Linked DNA regions of Struthio camelus. The protein of the gene in region 1 purifies or fractionates together with the protein of each later gene. This does not show direct contact. Links are inferred from orthologs where the notes say so. Each region holds a gene or a part of one and is shown in the gene's direction. Other genes may lie near its edges.

The links.
Region 2: the proteins of MYCBP (region 1) and OTUD4 purify together in Homo sapiens (co-immunoprecipitation; 3 studies listed by BioGRID and IntAct, with this or other methods). This does not show direct contact. The link is inferred for Struthio camelus from reciprocal best matches to the Homo sapiens genes MYCBP and OTUD4.
Region 3: the proteins of MYCBP (region 1) and SPAG5 purify together in Homo sapiens (co-immunoprecipitation; 3 studies listed by BioGRID and IntAct, with this or other methods). This does not show direct contact. The link is inferred for Struthio camelus from reciprocal best matches to the Homo sapiens genes MYCBP and SPAG5.

What each region holds. Positions count from the first base shown.
Region 1 is NC_090964.1:11,590,703-11,594,445, reverse strand, and holds the start of MYCBP (C-Myc-binding protein), read left to right. Parts: upstream 1-1,479; 5' UTR 1,480-1,657; coding exon 1,658-1,672; intron 1,673-1,772; coding exon 1,773-1,845; intron 1,846-3,480; coding exon 3,481-3,529; intron 3,530-3,743. Other genes in the region: GJA9 (gap junction alpha-9 protein), read left to right, coding at 1-294. UniProt on the Homo sapiens protein: May control the transcriptional activity of MYC. Stimulates the activation of E box-dependent transcription by MYC.
Region 2 is NC_090945.1:34,655,336-34,659,078, reverse strand, and holds the start of OTUD4 (OTU domain-containing protein 4), read left to right. Parts: upstream 1-1,429; 5' UTR 1,430-1,527; exon of another isoform or gene 1,528-1,593; intron 1,594-1,631; exon of another isoform or gene 1,632-1,854; intron 1,855-3,743.
Region 3 is NC_090957.1:16,565,994-16,569,736, reverse strand, and holds the start of SPAG5 (sperm-associated antigen 5), read left to right. Parts: upstream 1-1,014; 5' UTR 1,015-1,075; coding exon 1,076-1,099; intron 1,100-1,412; coding exon 1,413-1,511; intron 1,512-1,763; coding exon 1,764-3,316; intron 3,317-3,444; coding exon 3,445-3,637; intron 3,638-3,743. Other genes in the region: RSKR (ribosomal protein S6 kinase-related protein), read left to right, coding at 48-158, 248-472. UniProt on the Homo sapiens protein: Essential component of the mitotic spindle required for normal chromosome segregation and progression into anaphase. Required for chromosome alignment, normal timing of sister chromatid segregation, and maintenance of spindle pole architecture.

The sequences.
Region 1 (3,743 bases):
ACCTCACGGAACTGCGCGGCAGTGGCTGAGAGCGCAGGGTCTTCAACACGTTCTCTCCAAAAGAGCAGCAACAGAAGACTCAGCAGTTTCAGTGCAAGCAAAGGCCACGCTACTTCCAAAATTGACCCAAAAAACCTGAGCCGACCAAACACTCCTGACTCCATAGGGGAGGCGAGCTCAGAATCTAAACAAAGCAGAAACTGTGATAGTCCTCAGCCTGTCCCTCTGTCTAGGCGAATGTCATTGTCAAGTAATGCCAGCAGCAGGCGTGCCACCACTGATCTTCAAATTTAGTGTGAATTAGCAAGTGAACTGACACCAGTCAATGCTGGGAGAATTACTGGACGTTGCAACATAAGTAATAGCTACTTCTAAGAGTAGCTAAATTATTCAACTTTAACCAGCTCTTTCACATAGATAACCAAGTTGTGTACACCTTTGCTTACTAGCTAAGTGATCTTTAAACTGTATTTACATTTTTTAATACAAAGATGACTTAAACTCCAGTGTATAAGCTTCATTATCCTTCCAGCTAAAGAGGAAAACATACATCATATAAAGCCACACATTAGGAAAAGTCAGGGAAGTCCAGGTTAAAACTTTAGGCCTAGCAAAATACAAGGATTAAAATCACAACTGATAATATTTAAATTGAATAAAATTAGAGACAATCAGAATTAATACTGCTAATGTAGGCTTACACTTTGCGTTTTCTGGAGTGAAATTTTCAGCGGGCACATAAATTTGTGCTAATGCATATTTTGCATTTAATGTGCCTGTTTAAAGAGTCTAGTATTTAATACACTTTTCTTCCACTATCTAAATAATAGAAACATTAGCATTCAGATGCTCACAAACAGCATTTGACATTCAAACTTCTGTTGATTAAAGACAAGATGCAAAATAATCTGTTTTCTTCCTGCTGTTCACTGGGGGGGTGTTACTTTTTTTGTGGGCATGTGTCAAAAATTCTGTTTCATCACAGTACCTTGCCAAGAAGAAATTTCACCTTTATTCCACTGCAAACTCAAGTCACTGCAGAACAGTGTGCAAAAAAATGGTGGGGGAAAAAAAACCCAAAAACTAAAACTGCAGTTGTGTGATTATTAGATGGGTTCTTTTTTATGATGACAGTAAGAACGGGATTTTTTATTAGTAGGCATCACTGTGTCTCACAAAAGGAAAAAAGAAAGTAATTGTTCCTGTTGTATAGACAGACTTGCTTTTGCTCTTTGACGGGAAGATTTCACTGCCCGCGGTTCTTCGGCGCCCCTCGGAGCGAGACTCCGCAGCCAGGCGGCTGCGCTTCCTCAGGCACGGCCAGCGCGGCGGCAGCGCCTCCGACACAGCGCTGCCGCCGCGACAGCGCAGCGCGCCCGGAGCCGCAGCCGCCCCGCAGCGCTGGGGCCGGGGATGGGGCCGGGGCCGGGGCCGGGGGCTGGGGGCTGGGGGCGGGGCCGGGGCCGGGGCCGGGGCCGGGGCCGGGGCAGGCGCTGACGTTGACGCTGGCGCCGGCGCCGGGCGGGCGGAGTCAGTCAGAGGTGGAGGGCGGGGGCGTCGCCGCGGGCCCCGTCGCCATGGTGACCGCCGGGAAGCGCTCGCGCCGTAAAGGCCGAGGGCGCAGGCGCGCAGCTGGGCTTGGCGTTGTGTGGGCTCGATGGCGCATTACAAGGTAGGAAAGAACTGAGCGGGCGGGTGGGCCCCGACGGTCTCCGCCGAGCCGAGCCGAGGGCGGCATGCCGCTCTGACCGTGTGCGCGTCCTTGCCCCCAGGCCGCGGACTCCAAGCGGGAGCAGTTCCGCCGCTACCTGGAGAAGTCGGGGGTGCTGGACACGCTCACCAAGGGTAAGTGCCCGGCCTGGGCCGCGGCGGCGGGCCCGGCCCGACCCGGCCCGGCCCTGCCCGCGCCGCGCGGCCTCTGGAGCCGTGCGCGACGGCGAAGCCGCCTCTGGGCTGGGCGCCGAGGCGGGGCGTCCTGGGGGAGGCAGACGCGACCGACTCTCGTGTGCCCGCTGCATTTCTGGCAGTTTGCCGCCTCTGGGGCGGCCGCTACGGGAACGGTAAAGGCACCGGAGTGGCATAAAGGCAGTTTCCTTCTCCTTGGTCTGTTGTGTTGCGGACCTCTCTCACTCGGGCAGAGCGCTTCTCTCCGAGCTTGTTCTTGGAAACAGACTCATTTGGGGGCTCTAATACTGCCGCAAATCTCCGGAGTAAGTAAATGCTTGAGGCAAAACACAAAATGATCTCTTAAAAACATGCTATTTAAAAAGATCCTTTTTTTTTGAGTAAAGCTTGGAGCTCCTCCTAGATCTTGTGAACTTGAATGACTAAGTATCTGTATTGGATACTTAGGGCAAATATTTATGCTAAACCTTAGGCCTGTTCTGACTTTCAGTATGGTCCCAATGTCTGCTAAGTTTTTTTTTTTTTTTTGAGAGTCTTCAAATAGTATGTTGACAAAGTCTGTTAACATCCCTGCTTGAAAAGCATGTTCTTTAAAGAGGACAGATCTAGTGTGTCAAGCAAATGGGTTTTGTGTTTAAGACTATTGGCCTAGAGCGTATGCAGTACTTGATTTCTTGTCGATGTGCTTCTACTATCACGGTAATAAGCATCCTCTGCGATAGCAAAACACATATTCCAAACAATAGCACTCTGTTTTTATTTTTAACTTAGGTGCTTAGTTGAAACCAATGTGGCTCTGTAGTTTGGACATCAGAAGCTGGGCGAAGGACACCTAAGTCCCATGTAAACATTGCTCAGAAAATATTTATAAAAGCAAACATTGTCTATGGCTATGTGTGTGTTTGGGGGAAGCGTATATTTGGGAATTTTCTAATGATTCATGAGACTGAGCGTTCCACATACAGAGCTGGCGTATGTATATGGCTGGTTTTATCAGGGTACCGATGCTTGTGCCTGACCTGCCTGGCATTGTCCAACAGAACTCAGATCCATAAAGATTATGAGTGATGAACGTCATCTACTCTGACAGTACCCATTTCGTTGTCTAACGGTAGATGTTCAGTTGAGATTTGCTTTTTATACTGAAAGTTACAGAAGTGCTGACGATGTCTTGCGTTTCAAAGATGTAGCCTAAACAGAAATAATAATTTCTGAAGCAAGAGTCTCAAAATAGTTGGAATTCACATTTTAGTGATGAAAGCTAATGCTATGGTTGCACGTGGAAAATGCCACATTTGTCCAGGCTGTTCGTTTCTGTGTTCTGAGCTAAATAGCCTACGCCTATGGGTACGGGAATTGACACAATTTCTGAGTAGCTGTTATTGCATGCGATGCTCTGTTCTTTCCTGTGCAGATCTATTTATACAGTCAAAGGAAATAGGTAAAAGTCTTGTTAAAGGCAAGTTTTCTATAAATGTGGAATTCCAACTTGTATGTCTTCAGACTGTTGGTACATGCTCTAATATTTCAGTTTATTGTACTGCTTGCAATTGCTGAATGTTTTGTTTTTTCCAGTATTGGTAGCCTTATATGAAGAGCCGGAGAAACCGAATAGTGCACTGGAGTATCCTTTTTCTCTTCCGTGAATTGTTCATAGAGACTTAACACAAAACACAAATGGTATTTTTTTCTCTCCAAGATGAACTGGAGAAACATTTATAGGAGATTTAAAATAAGGACAGAACTTTTACATGTTTTAGTTAATAATAGCAGTCTTGCAAGTGGCTCTTGATCAGCCAAGTACAACAGACAATTGTAAACTCCTCTTAAATTGAACT
Region 2 (3,743 bases), on another chromosome or scaffold:
TGGGGTCTTTAACTCATGATAACAAGTAATTGTCAAAAAAAAAAAAATCCATAAAAACAACCTCTTTAAAATGTTTCCTGTTGCATCCCACAATCATTTGTAGGATGCTGATCACCTGAGAGTTAAAATGAGTCCTGACGGTGGTGAAGGCACTGCTTAAACTGGTACCACAGCCAAAAATGAAACTTTAATCCAATCACAGCTTCACACAGATGTCAAGAGGAAGTCAGAGCCATAGGGCCAAACACTCAAGCCCTTTGGGCTGCACAAGGGCTAGCTCTGATTTACAAGACGGTAACGCGATCTTTAGAGACAGGGCCACACTCCCAGCCTGACTCTCTCCTCAGCTCCCCCGCTCTGGCAGGTCCCAGCCTCGCCTGTCCTGCCTTCCCCTTCCTTTCAGCCCCACGGCCCGGCTCCCAACGCCGCTGTCCCCCTCTGCTCCCCGGCCCGCCTTCTACCTACCGCACCGCTCCTGCGCCCGCAGGCCGCCGGGCGGCGCGGCGCACCGAGCCCGCGACGGCCACAGACCTCGTTTCCTCACGACTCCGGCTGATGCTCCCGACCCGCCGCCCCTGATTTAAACTACAGCGTCTGGCGGTGCCGGGGGGAATAAACCGCCTGAGGAGCCCGGGCCACAGGGGGCGGCCGGCGGCGGGAGCCCCCTGCCGCCTCCCGCGCCCCTCCCCCCGCGGGCGGCCGTTAGGGAGACCGCGGCGCGCGGCGCCCCCCCGCGGGCGGCTCCAACGGCAGCTCCCGCGCGGCGCTGGGTCCTCCTCACGCCGGGGCGGCTATAACTAGGCCAAATTCAGACGGCTTTTTCACGCAACCAGCGTTAAAAGGGATCCATCCCGCGCCTGCGGTTTTCACGCCCTCCCTTCAAAGCACGAAAAGGCATCTTAAATTAAACTTGCAGCCTCGCTCCTTCGTCCGTGTCGAGGGGCCGCGGCAGGGGGGAGGGAAGGAGGGGCACAGGACACGCCACTTTTTCGGCCTGGTTGCGTGGAGGAGCTGCCGCGGCGCCTCAGGCCGCCTATTTCGGAGACGCGTTAAAGTACATCGGGGAAAGAACCAGCCCCACTCCTGTTCGCGGAACCAGGTGCCTCCGAGGGGCCGGGAGGGGATCGCACAGCAGCACTTTGAACTGCGCGTTAACCGCATCCCCATAATTAGGCAGACAGGACCTGCCCGGTGTTGGACAAGCCCCGACACCGCGCACCTCGCTCTGAACCCGGCCCCACGCGCCCCCCGCGTGCCCAACCCCCGGCGCCGCTGCCGGCACCGCCGAGCGCGCTACCGGCCCTGTGGGGGGAAGGGACACACTCCTGGGCGGTACCACTGCAAGCCCACTGTTGGGGGGGGGCGGAGGCGCGGGCGACTGCCTCTCGCCTTGACATCACCCGCTTCCTTAAAGTTACCCAACGGAAAAAAAAAATCCTTAGGGGAAGCTTACGCCACGTGCCGCTTTCTCCTAGGGCATCTGGGGATTCTCACAGTCTGTCTCCTTCCTCCCCTTTGCGACAAATGGTACGAGCCACAGCCACCCGCACAGGTGTGGCCGGTGGGACAAACCAATCGTGGGCGGGGGGGGTGGTGGAAAGCGGTGTGGGCGCGCGCGCACTCGTGTGCGTGTGTAGAAGAGTGATGAGAAGTGGCGAGGCGGGAGGGCGAGACCGGGACGGGGTTGGTCCGCGGCCGCATCATCGCAGAGCGACCGCCGCGGGAGATTGAAGTGCCTGCGCCGCCGCTGAGGCCCTTGCCAGGCCAGAAGGAGGCGGTGCCGCCGCCCGCTCCCGCAAGCCGTTGTCCGGGGGGGGGAGGGGGGAGCGCGCGCGCCCGCCCGCCCCTCCTCCGGTAAGTGCCAGTCAGCGGGTGGGGGAGGGGTGCGGGGCCCGCCCGGTAGCCGTTGCGGAGGGGGGAACCGCTGAGGGGGGAGGCTAACTCGTCTGCGTGTGTGTGGCCGCACCGGCGGCCGAGCGGGCCCAGCCCGGGCGGATCCGCTCCCGGGGCAAAGGCGGCCGGGCCGGGCCGGGCCGCGGAAGGTGCTGCCCTTGCGGCGGGCGGGGAGGCTGTTGGTGGCAGGCCCTTTGGGGGGGGGGGGGAGTGTGCCTGTCCCCGGCTCGCCATGGGTCGCGCCAGCGAGATTTGCCGGCTGGAAGGAGTGATTTTTATTTTGTTTAATTGTTATTATTATTTTGTTTAATTGTTATTAGTGTTTTGGTTAATCAGCGGGGTCTGGAATGGGGAAGGGGGCACGTGAAAGTGGGCGAGAGCTGGTCTCCTCAAGGTGGTGGTTTCATGGACGCGTGAGGCGGGTAAGGGTGGTCGGTCGTGCACCACCGTGTGGTGCCCCCGCTCCCTGGTGCTGGCCCAGGTGTTAGTACAGGCAGGCAGTGAATTGAATCATAACGATGATCTTGGTTTAAAAATTAAAAAAAAAAAGTTCTTAGCTTGAGTCTGTTTCCTGAGCTGACTCTGTCGGCACCAGTGGTTGGTGCAGAGGAACCACTAGTGGCAGGAACTGCTCTGTTTTTGGTGACAGCACTGGTTGAAAGCGTTTATAAAACTAGTTGCTGATTGGCTACTTGAGTTATAATTAGGTCCCCTTTACTTTGAGGGAGCGTTCATTTTAATGCTGAGGGGTTTCAGGTGCTTTTCAATTGATGCCTTAGAAATGCCACATGCCTTAGAAATTGTGCAAGTACTGACCAGATTTCTTCAATGGGAACTTCACCTTTTTAGAAATAAACTGCTTCTTTGATAGCAGTACATGAGCAAAAACCTCTGTGGATGACCATTGTGACTTTAGGAGCTAGACACAAAAGGAGTGGGCTTTTGGGGAACTGACAGCTATATGGCTCTAATATTATCAGTTTATTCGCATACCAGAACTACGTTTGCATTCTGTGACATATTTAATGACCTTATTTTTTGAGTGACCTCGTGTATAAAGGCACTCTTGAGTCTAACAGACCTAATGAAAGCCATTTACCTTTCCTCTAACTGGTCTCTGAATCATAGTGACAAAAGGCTCAAATACAAGGGAAGACAAATTTGTGAGCATGTTAGAGGATGCTTCTGGTACTGAAGGTGACTATTAGACTGAGGGGGAAAAATGGAAAATTCCTAAGAAACTCTGTAACTGGACACTAGTTTGATAGCTCACAAAAGCATCTAGTCTTACCATCTAAATCTATGGAAGAAGCAATTGTCCCATGCAGGAATCTGTTAGCTTTAATTTCTTAAGTGAATACGGTAGCTGTGTCAGTGCCGGCAATTGTTTGCAGTTCAGCATTGTGATGGACTTTTTACATCTTTTGGGGAGAAGTTTGAGCTTTCCCTTCAGTTCCTCACTAGTGTTTATGCCTCATGCTCCCTGTCATAAAGCCTTTATATGCCCTTACTGGTTACCTAGCTCCCTGTTTCTTAGAGCCTCAGATGTCATCAGGGCTTTCCTTTCACTTCTCTTAGTTTCTGTGCTCCTTGTCTACAGAGATGTCTGGGAGATTGCTTCTGTTTCCAGTAGACCTGCTCCTTGCTTGGCAAACCTGGGCCTCTTAGGAAAAAGAAGTTTGATACTGCTTATACAGAGCTACCATGGTACTCAGCTTGGCTTATAACTCCAGCCTATCCAGTTGGTTACTATTGTATACAGACCACATCAGAGCTTGAATCATAGCCTTCCCTGGCTTTGTTTCTGTTGACTGAAAGTAAAAATGAGGGTTTTCATATAACTGCCAGAA
Region 3 (3,743 bases), on another chromosome or scaffold:
CCCGGGGAGCCCCTCAAACCGCCTCGTGCCCCCCCCCCCCCCCCCAGTTCCCGGTGGCACCAGCACCGGACCACGTGGCCATGCTGGAGCGCGTCAACTGCAGCAGCTACGAGAGCCCGGGTGCCCTCAGCTCGGCGCTGGCCCGGCTGCTCGCAGAGGTACCCCTGCCCGCCCGGACGCCGGGGTCCCCGCTGGCCCCCCGGCCCGGACGCCGGGGTCCCTGTGGCTCAGTGTCCTCCGTCCCCAGCTGCTGTGCCGAAACCCACTGCGGCGCCTGCGCTACCTCCACCACTTCCAGGGCCACCCTTTCTTCCGGGGGATGGCCTTCGACGCCGAGCTGCTGCAGAAGGACCCCGTGGAGGCGGCCGTGGCCCCGCGGCCGGTGGAGGAGCCCCTGCCCGAGGCCGCCGTCACCTTCGACGACTTCGACTGCGACCTCGCCGCCCCTGCGGGCCGGCCCTGGCCTGGCTGAGCCCGCGCTTGGGCCCTGCCAGCCGGAGGCCGTGCCTGGCGCTTGGGCCCTCTTCGCCATCACTCAGGGAAAAACCCCCCTCCGGCACCGGGTCGGACCCCGCCGTGCCAGTGCCCCCTTTCCCACCAACGCCGTACCTCTCCGCGCGCTCGGCGGGAGCAATAAACCAGAGACCGCCGGGCATCACCCCCTGCCCCGGAGTCGAGTCGCCTGGCGCGCCGGAGGGGAGGCCAGAGCAGGATGCTCCGGAGCAGGCGTCTCCCTGCGGGCAGCGGAGGGAGGGCGAAGGCGCGTCGCGAGGGCCGCGCACGGGTAGGACACGGCCGCTCCGCCCGCGGGGCCCGGCCGCGCCGTCGGCCGCCCGGTGCTCGGCGCTGTACAAACGCCTCCGCCCCGCCCCGACGCGCCGCGGGGCGGGGCTTACCCCGCGGCCCCGCCTTAGGCCCCGCCCCCGGCGCGGTGACGCGCGGGCGGCGCAGCCAATAGGAGCCGCGCGTGGTTTTCAAACGGGGCCCGGCGGCGGCGCGCGGGGAAGCGGCGGCGGCGGCGGCGGCGAGACCGAGCCGATCCGAACCGGCAGGCAGGGAGCGAGCGAGCGGGGCCATGCGAGCTGCGCAGCCGCCCGCCGTGAGTGCCCCGGCGTCCTGAGCCGGGGGTCTGTTGGGGGGGTCCCGGTCCCGGTCGGGGGGTGTCCTCCCCGGTAGGGCCCGTCCCGGAGTGGCGGTCGGCGTGGGCCCCGGCTGGGAGGGGGGTGCCGGTGCGGCGGTGGAGGGGAGGCCCCGGGAGCGGGGGTGGGGGAGCCCGGTACCGGGACGGCGGTGCCGGTGAGGCCTCGCGGTGCACGGACCCAGTACAGCCCCGTAGGGCCCCGCGGGCGGGGGGGTGCGCGGGGGCCGGGGCCCGGGCGGCCCCGGTGCCCGCGGTGACGGCCGTGTCCCAGGCGCGGCGGCCCGGGCGCGCCCCGCTGCGGGAGCTGCGGCTGCAGCCGGGCGCCGAGCGCACCTGCCTCACGCCGCTGCTCCGCCGCCTGCGGCTCAAGGTACGCGGTGCTGGGGGGGACCGGCGACACGGGGGGCAGCTGGGGGTGGGGGCGCTGCGGGGGGGGTAACAGCCGGGGGTGGCAGGGTGTGCTGGGGGACCTGGGGGAGGGGACAATGGCGGGGGGTGCTAGGGATGGTGGAGGGGACAGCTGGCGGTACTGGGGTGGGGAACTGGGGATACTGGGGGAACAGCTGGAGGGGGGTAACTGGGGAGGGGCAGTGCTGACATCCCCCTGCCCTGTGTCCTGCAGGACCATGACAGTGCCAGCCCAGGGCCATGCACCCCGGAGCCCCTCAGCAATGCCACCCCAAAGCCCCCCAGCAGCACCAGGGCCACCCTGGAGCCCCCTGGCAGCCCCACCCCGGGGCCCTGCAGCCTGGAGCCCCCCAGCAGCCCCACCCCAGAGCCTGCTGGCAGCACTGCCCCAGGGTGCTGCACCTCACAGCCCCCCGGCAGCACTAGGGCCCTGGAGCCCCCTGAGAGCACCCCCGTGGGGCCCTGCACCCCAGAGCCCCCTGGCAGTGCCACCCTGGAGCCCCCTGAGAGCACCCCCGTGGGGTCCTGCACCCCAGAGCCCCCTGGCAGTGCCACCCTGGAGCCCCCTGAGAGCACCCCCGTGGGGTCCTGCACCCCAGAGCCCCCTGGCAGTGCCACCCTGGAGCCCCCTGAGAGCACCCCCACGGGGTCCTGCACCCTAGAGCCCCCTGGCAGTGCCACCCTGGAGCCCCCTGAGAGCATCCCCATGGGGCCCTGCACCCCAGAGCCCCCTGGTAGTGCCACCCTGGAGCCCTCTGGCAGTGCCACCCTGCAGCCCCCTGAGAGCATCCCCGTGGGGTCCTGCACCCCAGAGCCCCCTGGCAGCACCAGGGCCCTGGAGCCCCCTGAGAGCATCCCCGTGGGGTCCTGCACCCCAGAGCCCCCTGGCAGCACCAGGGCCCTGGAGCCCCCTGAGAGCATCCCTGTGGGGTCCTGCACTCCAGAGCTCCCTGGCAGTGCCACCCTGGAGCCCCCTGAGAGCACCCCCACGGGGTCCTGCACCCCAGAGCCCCCTGGCAGTGCCACCCTGCAGCCCCCTGAGAGCACCCCTGCAGGCCCCTGCACCCCAGAGCTGCCTGGTAACGCCACCTCAGAGCCCCCTGGCAGCCCCTCCACAGTGTCCTGCACCCCAAGGCCCCATGGCAGGACCCCGCTGGGCTCCCCAGGCAGCACCACCCCAGCATCCTGCACCCTGGGCCCCCCCGGCACCAGCTCCACCCCACAGGAAGCCCCCTTCCACGGGTGGCGAGTGGCGCCCGCCGACCTCTCCTGCAGCCCCACGACGCCCACTGACCTCTCCTGCAGCCCCACGGCACCCGAGCCCCTGCACAGTGACGGGGATGCTGGTCCCCCACCTTGCAAAGGCTCCTCCAGGGGATCTGCGTCCCCGACCACCTCTCCGCCGGGGCAGGACCCCCCTGGGCCCTCTCCCACCAAGGCAGGTGGGTTGGAGCCTGCAGGGCCGGAGCCTGCGGCCACCTCTGTCCCCTCGCCTGAGCTGGCCCCAGGTGCCGTGTCCTGGGTGATGCCACTGGTGTGGCTGGAGAAGAGCCTCAACGCCTCGTCTCTGCTGGAGTCCCTGCGGCACAGCCTGCCCCTGCCCACGCTGCAGCAGGACGTCGGTACCAGCATCACCCCTGTGCCCGCCGTGGCCACCGGGACCTTCATGACTCCGCGGGACCTGCTGGAGAGGAGCACGAACACGTCTGCAGAAGGGCCTGCTTGTGCCAAGGACAGTGCTGCCGAAACGGACTCTCTGCTCTGGCAGTAAGTCCCTGTGCAGCAACGGAGCTGCAGGGATGCGCTGTCCCAGGGTCCCCCCCCATCGGCAGGCCACCCCACCCGCGGGGTGCCCCTGCTCCGGGCCGGGCCCTCAGGTGTTTCTCCTTCCCTAGCTGTCCCCGGGAGCAGCTGAAGTCCCTGCCGCGAGCGGAGCTGGAGGGGCGGCTGGAGAGCACCCTCATCATCATCGAGGCGCTCTCGCTGCAGCTGCGCGACTGGCAGGAGAACCAGCGGCCGCTTCCCGGCGTGGGGCCGGCGGAGCAGAGGGACGCGCTCACGCAGACGGACGTCACCCACCCCAAAGGGGTAAGGGGCTGCGCCGGGGTGACGCCGAGCGTGCGCGCCCCGAGCGGGGAGCGAGCCTCGGCGCCGCGGCGGTGCCCGCGTGTCGCCCGCAGCGCTGGCGGGGCCG